2 linked regions of the Oryzias latipes genome follow. The protein of the gene in region 2 interacts with the protein of the main gene of each other region in a pairwise test. Links are inferred from orthologs where the notes say so. Each region holds a gene or a part of one and is shown on either strand. Other genes may lie near its edges.

Region 1 (4,269 bases), on a different chromosome or scaffold from region 2:
CCTCATAAGATGTGTCTGAGATTATTCTCTGTAATATTTACAGAGATATTTTGCCACAAGCCACTTTGTAAAAAGATCTGTGGCTGTTAGAATGAACCTGCTGCTCCACACGAGTGAACCGTGTCTCTGAGCAGAGCAGCTGGAGTCTCGTAGCTTCGTGTTCGCAGGCTGGGAAGCTGCTTTGTTATAGTGTGCGGTCCGGAGAAGAGTTCAGAACGCAGTCTGTTCAGCTGCAATGCAGTTAATAATAATAATATTTAGGGCTACATGTCATGAGGAAAACTTAATATTGCGGTGACGATGTAACTTGGGGTGTAGGAAAACAACCAAAAACATCATTTCTATTTCACTGCAACAGTTTAAAAACTGCATTGCAAATGACCAACATCTACATAGGAGACGAACATCTAACACAAAAGGGCTCCATCCGATTGGTCAAAAACATAAAAGGGATTATTTTTGCTTCGTTAAATACTGCCATCAGATTGTTTTAGCATACTTAAGGTAACCATTTATTGCGATCTTCGCCGTCTTTTGCAATATGCATATTGCACAGCTTGATATTGCGATAACGATAAATTTGCGATATATTGTGCAGGCCTAATCATAATATTACCAAAAGCACGTTTAGAAGATAATCTTTCTCTGTGTCGGAGCTCTGTATGTTTACAACGGACCGCATAATATCTTCTTCTATGTTAGTATCGTAATTTATCCAGACCAATCACTATCTGATATTGCGATGACGATATAACTTGTGGTGTATGAACAAAGAGCAAAACAACCTAAAACATCATTTCTATTTCACTGCAACAGTTTAAAAACTGCACGTGATCGGACCAACAGACATCCAATCACATAATGTGACGTCAGCACTCTTCGAAGGACCCCGAACGGTTATTGCAGGCCGAATGGTTATGGTACCTACACCCCACAGGAACACTGAAAATCTGCACTCATTTTTCCTTTAAAAACAAAAAAAAACTTTTTACTCCTTCGACCATATCACTTCGATATTTGGTGGAAAATAAAGGACAATGTTTTTTTTAACACTAACACTGGAAAACCCTTGCTAATAATACATTAGAGGTTCAGATATTTGTCTGTCCTCAAATACCAAACATCCCTAAAACAGCACTTCCATGAAAATTCTTAATAAAGACAGATAATTGTATCTCTATGCTGCACAGGTCAGGAAAATGTTCAGATATAATTCAAATGATACAGATTCAAATGCAGCAGACAAAGGTTGACTTTAAAACGTACTTAAAATGCCAGAGTGGTCATGTGACCATCTGCTGATCTTTTTGTACATGCCACGATTGTAGAGAAGGAAGTTGAAACCCATTTGTCAATATGTTGACTATACAAAGCTGAAATTGACATGAAAAGGGTTTTTTTTAAAGAAAAAGGACGTTTTTAACTACTCTGGGGGAAAAACGAAACTAAAACCAAAAGAAATAGGAAAAAAAATAGAAGAAGTTTGCTTTTCTGGTTATGACTAAAGCAAAAGTCTTTTTCTTCTTCTAAAAAAAGTCATATGGCATTCTAAGGAAATCTGTCACGCTCAACCCACCATCTGAGCCGCCAGCGTTGAGGAGAATTCACTGTTCATGGCGTAGGGAAGGGCGGTTTGAGCTCTGGAGCCATACGTCGTCTGGAAGCGCTTCTTGACTTCGCCAAGAAAGGTAAATGCACGAGATCTTTCAAAGTCCTTTAACAGAAAACATTCAATCACGATAAATGCAACTACACGTATTTAAAGCTTTGTGCCAGTGTCACATCCTTCCCAACTATTGCTGAACATCAAAACAAAATAAAAAGTCCAAAGATACTCACATCATCAGTGATGCACAAGTATATGATTCTGTCATGGCAGATGTAATGAAAGAGGTAACTGAAAACAAAATAGAAACACCATCAGTTACACGTTCCCAGAAACTAGCCCTGATTGTGGGCAAAATAATGACAATTATTGAGATGAAGGAGCAAACTGGACCGTACCTGCCGTGGCTGTAGGTCAGTTTGTTATTCTCTGAGGGGATTTTGGCTAAAATTTGTTCTGTGACTTCCAGGAAGTTGCCCCCGCACCAAGCATGTTTGGCCAAAATCGTGGTTCCACGAGCCACCACAGCAAACAGGATTGCCATGGTAACACAGCTGGGTTCTCCGCTACGTTAGTTTTCTGTCAAATAAACAAGGAAAGGAATAAGCTTTTTGTTGTTGTTGTTTTTTGGTAGGTGGAGCTCAGGTAAAACAAAAATGCCCCCACCCGCCTTCCCTCCCTCCCACCGGAATTCCGTTAAGATGAGTTAGAAAGAAAAGGAAAAAAATTGTGTATTGTAGACAAAAAAATACTAAAAACGATTACACCCAACATCCCTATGCGTGTTATTGTGGTATAAATCATTGGGAAAAACAAAGACTGATTCGGCAGCAAGCTAGCGTAGTAAGTAATGTTGAAATAAACACGGAACAGTGGTGGCGTCAACGAAAAGACCAAAATGTTAATCAAAGTGTCAGTTCAAGTTTTTGTTTGTAAGTTAAACGTTGTTGCAAAAAAACAAAACAAAACGATACCTTAACGTGTCAGCGCCACTCAAACGAGCTAATTATTTTCCCACATTTATAATGTGTCAGCTGCTAGCAAGCTAGCTAATCCCTTTCGAGTGACTTCTGCTTTGCGGATCCTTTGGACCGGAAGCACACACTGACCAACGCTGGGTAATGTAGTTCTTTTTTGCAATTTCTTTCACAGTGAATGCTGCTCTTCTACCATTCTGAACTACACTTCCCTAAACTACAAATGACGATGTGTCTTCGTCATATGTTTTCATGCGTAAGAGCAACTGTTTAGGAATTCCCCTCAGTTTAGCCTTAAAGGCTACGATTACACGCTAAATTGAATGCATTTGCAAATTAAATGTTAAGGAATGTTACTTTTTAGCGCAGTGAAAGGTAGTACTTCATCACCAACCTAATTTAAGTTCGATCCGTTTATCTTTTCTTAATTGCATGTTTTGTATGTCTATGTTTAACAAAATTTATTTGTGTCATCACTTCAAATCGACATATCTCTTTATGGCAGACTAAATAAAACATTTATTCTTAGGGTTGTAGTCGGAATAAATGTCCAACCAAGCGGGTTCAGTTATTAATGAATAATAACAGCATGGCGACACTTTCATTTTCAGCCTGTAAGTCAAAAATAAAGGGGAAGAAACACAAAGCTCATACTTTGCAGTGCGAGCGACGTGAAAAGCATGGCCGGGGATGGCGAGAAGAAACCCAAACTGGAAATGGTAAAATAAGAAAATGTCGTTTTGTTTGATCAGTTATTTAGATACTTAACTGTATATTGGTTAAAGTTTGTGTAGGTGAAATATATAATAACACATCGAAGAAGCTAATGCTAGCTTTCTCCACCGCCCGGCTGCAGACTTCACGTGGAAGATGAAGTGTCTGTTCATAAGAAAATCCCTTTTACTCGTATATAAACATTTTTTGTTAATTTATATTACTTAAAAAGAAACCAAAATCATGTTTTATTTGATAAAACTGAGCTTATATTTTAGTGTGTTACTACATGTCATTGTTTACTTGGTCAAAATCCTGCGATGTCTTTTATCCCCACTAGGGGGCAGTATTTTAAAACAAGCAGTGTTTACTTAAGATTTGTGAACTAAAATGTACTTAAACGTTAAAAATATATATATTATAGTCCCACAAGTCCCTACTAAACAACTGATTTTTGTTTTTTGTAATTTATATTAAAATAAAAAAGTTAAACGTCCATAGTCTCAAAGATCACTAAAACAGAGAAACAATATTCATGGAGTACAAATTAATGTATGTAAACACTGTTGTAGGAGGAATATGGCTCTCAATTGTATTTTTTTCAGCAACAAACCCACTAAAATGTTTCAAGATTCACTTATAGTGGTCTACAGAAGGATGATAATAATAAGCGACAGCTCAAAAACAAGGGTAAAAACCTCTAAAAGAACAGCACCAGCAAAAATAAAGCCACAAATCCCGACTACAACCCAACAGGAGCCACAAAGTCCTACTCCACCTTTTAGTAAAATAGGACTCAGATTTGTGTATTTGTGGTATTTCTACTGTTGTGTTAAACCCTAATGAATTTTTTCGGGGCATGAATAAAAAACATAAGGACAAATGAGCCTCTTTTTCTAAATACAAAATATTTTACACCCTTTGACAGAGGTTCACATGACGTCCTTTCAAAATAAAAGACATCCTGTAGCA
Region 2 (4,035 bases):
TTTAATCAAAGTTTTCATAAACATTTATTTAGTCAAAAATAGATATATTTTTTAGGCTATTTACGCTTGAAGCCTCTTTTTTTTTCTGTCCTAAAACATGATTTCTTGTTGAAACTGTGACGCTTTTTGTGTTGCAGTGTTGATTTCTTTGTCCTCCGGGATGCCCAACCACAGTGCTAGTATCCAGGTAGGTTCCCCACGTTCTCGGCCATCATCAGATCATAACCCTTCCACTCCAGTCACTTTCTGCCGATGACGCTCCTTTAAACATCTAAACACCACAGAGAACTTTTCACTATTTGGTTCAGCCGGTTTTGTCGAACAGAAGAGCCGCTGGTGTGGAAAGGTTGACGGGGATGTTAATGCCTCTGGTTTTGTCTTCTGCTCTGCTTTCCTCCCACAGCTCTGTGTGCAGAAGCTGCGAATCCTTATCGAAGACTCGGACCAGAACTGTGAGCCCTCTGTCAATGCCTGCAGTGTGTCATTTTCTCATTGTCTGCGTGTTTCTGTCTATGGAACAGTCCACCCCTTTAGACGACATGGAATTAGATCCCCTGACCCCGGATAACTCGAACATTACCTCTTTTCTTCACGTAATCAGGAGACCTGCTGGAAAGCCATCATACTTACAGAGCATCTGCAAACATCCCACAGCAGTATGCTGGAGAAAAGGAAGACCTTTCATTTTAATTTGACGTTTCAGCAGCTTCCCAAATGTCTTAATCCAATGTCAGGTCTGGCTCTAAAAGTCCCAAAGACTTTTCTGTTTTCAGTCATTCGAGTTATCTGGACCTCCATGGTAGATGTGTGTGGAGTAGACTGCAGACGTCTGGTGTTGGTAGAGCAGATTAGAGACTTGTAGTTTCAAGCTTAGTTTGACTTGTAATCCTGTTTTTTGAGCTTCTGTTAGACATTTTTCTGCCCGTTTAATGCAAACCCAGTTTTGTACGGGTCTCGATTTAGTAACTTCAACTGAAGCAGGAATCTCACTGAACCTGTGAACACTAGCCGACTGCCTGGTGAGCGTCTGGTCACTAATGGGCAGTTTATCCACGGGTTAGAGGGCGAGCAAGATCCAAACCAGTTTTCCGTCTTTTAGTAAATAGAAATGATCAGACTGTAACTGGAAAACATGCAAATTTCAGAAATCCTGAGCACAAATCGTTGACTTTGGAAAGAGATCCAGTTGATGTGAGGGCAGCATTCTGCTTTAGCTGCTAACAAAAAGAAGAAACGGACTCAACTTTCTAAGGGATCGACACCTGAAGTATACTACCTTACATTTCTCTAAAGAAGAAAAACAAATGGATGGAAGTGGGAAGAATATCTGTAAAATGCTTTTTGGTAAAGTCAGGAGTTTTCTTTCCAAATATCTTGCAGTAAACATCTTTGCTATTTTAAGCCTGAGAGATGGCGCCTCTTGGAGGTGATCATCAGCTGCTCCAGCAGACGACGGACAGAACTTTGTATTTTTAAGAATCCGTTTGAAAAGGGGATCCCCGGAAAAAACCCAAAGATCAGGAAAGATGAAACCCCCCTGTCCCGTGTGTGTTTGTGTGTGTTCACTCCTTTGTCTCGTGCGTTTTGTGTTTCTTCCTTTTTCCATTCCTCCTTTTTCACTTTTATGACTTTATTGTGAAAGTTTATTTGTATTACTTTGAAAACAAAGAACCAATGAGCTCTTTAGATGGAAAAAATATGCAGACATTTACAGCTGGAAGCGGTGAAAACGGATTTCTAACAGCAGATTCAAGTAACATCAGTCAGATTAGCGTTTATAGAAGTGGTTCAACTTTTAACAAAATACCGTGGGGAATAGTGATGAAGTTCAGACGACTACTCTTGTATTAAGTAGACTGAGGCCATATCTGTGTTGACCTTTGATGCAGTGAAGTATCTGGGTCTGCTGGCGATGTCAAAGATCCTGAAGACCCACCCCAAATCGGTCCAGTCCCATAAGGACCTCATCCTCCAGTGTCTGGATGACAAAGACGAGTCCATTCGCCTCAGAGCTCTGGACCTGCTTTACGGCATGGTAGGATCAGAAGATTCTTCTGCTGCAATTGTTTAAACAATCGTTTCTGGAAACCTGGTTGATCTTTTAGTTCTGAAGTTACACCAGAAAGGTTTTTTTCGTCTTAATAATTGCACCGTAAAGTTTTCACAAAGCAGCCTCTTTTGTTTTTGTCGCTCCGTCCAGGTGTCCAAGAAGAACCTGATGGAAATTGTAAAGAAGCTGATGCTGCATGTGGACAAAGCAGAGGGAACCACCTACAGAGACGAGCTTCTCACAAAGATCATCGACATCTGCAGCCAGAGCAACTATCAGTACATCACCAACTTTGAATGGTCCGCTGGATTCCTCCCCTTCCACCTCCTGCTCCGCCCCCTCTGAGTTCTGAACTGTGGCGTCTGCCTGACAGGTACATCAGCATCCTGGTGGAGCTGACCAGACTGGAGGGCACGCGCCACGGCCATCTCATCGCCTCTCAGATGCTGGACGTGGCCATTCGGGTCAAAGCCATCCGGGCCTTTGCTGTTGCCCAGATGGCGACTCTGCTGGACAACGCTCACCTGCTGACGGGAAACACGCAGCGAAACGGCATCTGTGAGGTTCTGTATGCGGCAGCCTGGATCTGTGGCGAGTTCTCTGAGTGAGTCCAATTCCAAAATGAAGATGCTCTGATCAGGAACTGATTCTGAAGCCATTGGGTTTTTGGTTTTGAGGTGAAAGGGAGGCAAAAGGTGAAGTTATTGTCACATTTCCAGTCTTGATCAGCTTTTGACGCTGGATGTAGACAGAACCGAGGAGGGTCAAAAGTTCTCAAAGGATTGTAAAGTAGAAAAACCTATCTTTGAAATTAAATTGATCTTTTTTTTTAAACTACAATATTGATTCATTTAATTTAATGAACCTTCAAATAAAAAACTAATGTAATTTTTAAGGGAATAAACACATTTGTTTGTTTTTAATGTAAGAATTCCTAATTTATTAATAAAAAAATCAATTTCTCAATCAATGATGCATAAAAACAAAAAACTGTCGATTTTTTGGTTTCTAAAATAAAAATTACAAGCACTCGGTAAATCATTTATCCATCAAACCAGAAATACAAATCTAGTTGCTTATGTTTACACTTTTTACTCACTTTAAACGTTCATTTAGTACAAGAGAATCAAGTGTAAACTGGGTCAATTACCGTAATTTCCGGACTATAAGCCGCTACTTTTTTCCTGCGCTTACAGCCTTGCGGCTTATTCAGTGACGCGGCTAATTTATGGATTTAATTAGCGGCCGCCATGTAACTCAGTGAATAGTTTGAATTCTCTATCTAACACCAAGCACGAGGCATTTTTATTCAACACACCTCTTAGCAGCCAAACAGCATGGACTTGACTTCAGGTCTTAGACACTTCAGTCATGGTTCAACAAAACGAAACACGCATGCCCGGCCGCATCCCAGAATCCTTTGGGGCCATTAGACCCAACGTGCACGTGATCGCCGCTACATTATGATGAAGCTTTCAAGTTAAAAGCAATCGTTAAAAGCAGCGTAAAAAAGTCCACCGTCACCAACGGGTTTGGAAAAGCCGGTTTGCTGCGTGACGGAGAGAACAGCGCATGGAGTGAATTTACACTCCATTTACGGTTTCTAAGGAAACCGTAAAAGCGGAATTTTGCTTTGAAAAACTCACAGCCTCCGTGTGAGCTGGAGACATCTTCTCTTGCTGATTGAGCTGCGGGGCCGATGGCAGTCTGAAGGCTCCCACACGTAACAACGCATCCACCCCTCATACACAAAACGTACAGTATTAAGTCCGATTGCTTTGCACAGAAACCATTTGCTCCATCCATCGGCTTAACGGGGACGAAGTGATCCTCCTTGAAGCCGCCCTGGCCAGAGGTGTCGGAGTAGATAGGAAGGGGAGACAAGGAGCGCAGAGGCGTCCGCGGAGTGCAGAGGCTTCTGAATTCTGACGCACGCGCCGCACTGAGGCGCGCGTATCGCGCTGAGGCGCCCGCTTTTCAGTCGC

The links.
Region 1: the proteins of ap3d1 (region 2) and vamp7 interact in a two-hybrid assay, tested with the Homo sapiens proteins (2 studies listed by BioGRID and IntAct). The link is inferred for Oryzias latipes from reciprocal best matches to the Homo sapiens genes AP3D1 and VAMP7.

Annotation. Positions count from the first base shown.
Region 1 is NC_019868.2:26,863,141-26,867,409, forward strand, and holds the start of vamp7 (vesicle-associated membrane protein 7), read right to left. Parts: upstream 2,801-4,269; 5' UTR 2,581-2,800; intron 2,186-2,580; 5' UTR 2,151-2,185; coding exon 2,005-2,150; intron 1,898-2,004; coding exon 1,840-1,897; intron 1,715-1,839; coding exon 1,577-1,714; intron 1-1,576. Other genes in the region: DNA-directed RNA polymerases I and III subunit RPAC2, read left to right, coding at 3,264-3,302. UniProt on the Homo sapiens protein: Involved in the targeting and/or fusion of transport vesicles to their target membrane during transport of proteins from the early endosome to the lysosome. Required for heterotypic fusion of late endosomes with lysosomes and homotypic lysosomal fusion.
Region 2 is NC_019862.2:30,490,729-30,494,763, reverse strand, and holds part of ap3d1 (AP-3 complex subunit delta-1), read left to right. Parts: intron 1-137; coding exon 138-187; intron 188-403; coding exon 404-452; intron 453-1,889; coding exon 1,890-2,035; intron 2,036-2,200; coding exon 2,201-2,349; intron 2,350-2,423; coding exon 2,424-2,654; intron 2,655-4,035. UniProt on the Homo sapiens protein: Part of the AP-3 complex, an adaptor-related complex which is not clathrin-associated. The complex is associated with the Golgi region as well as more peripheral structures.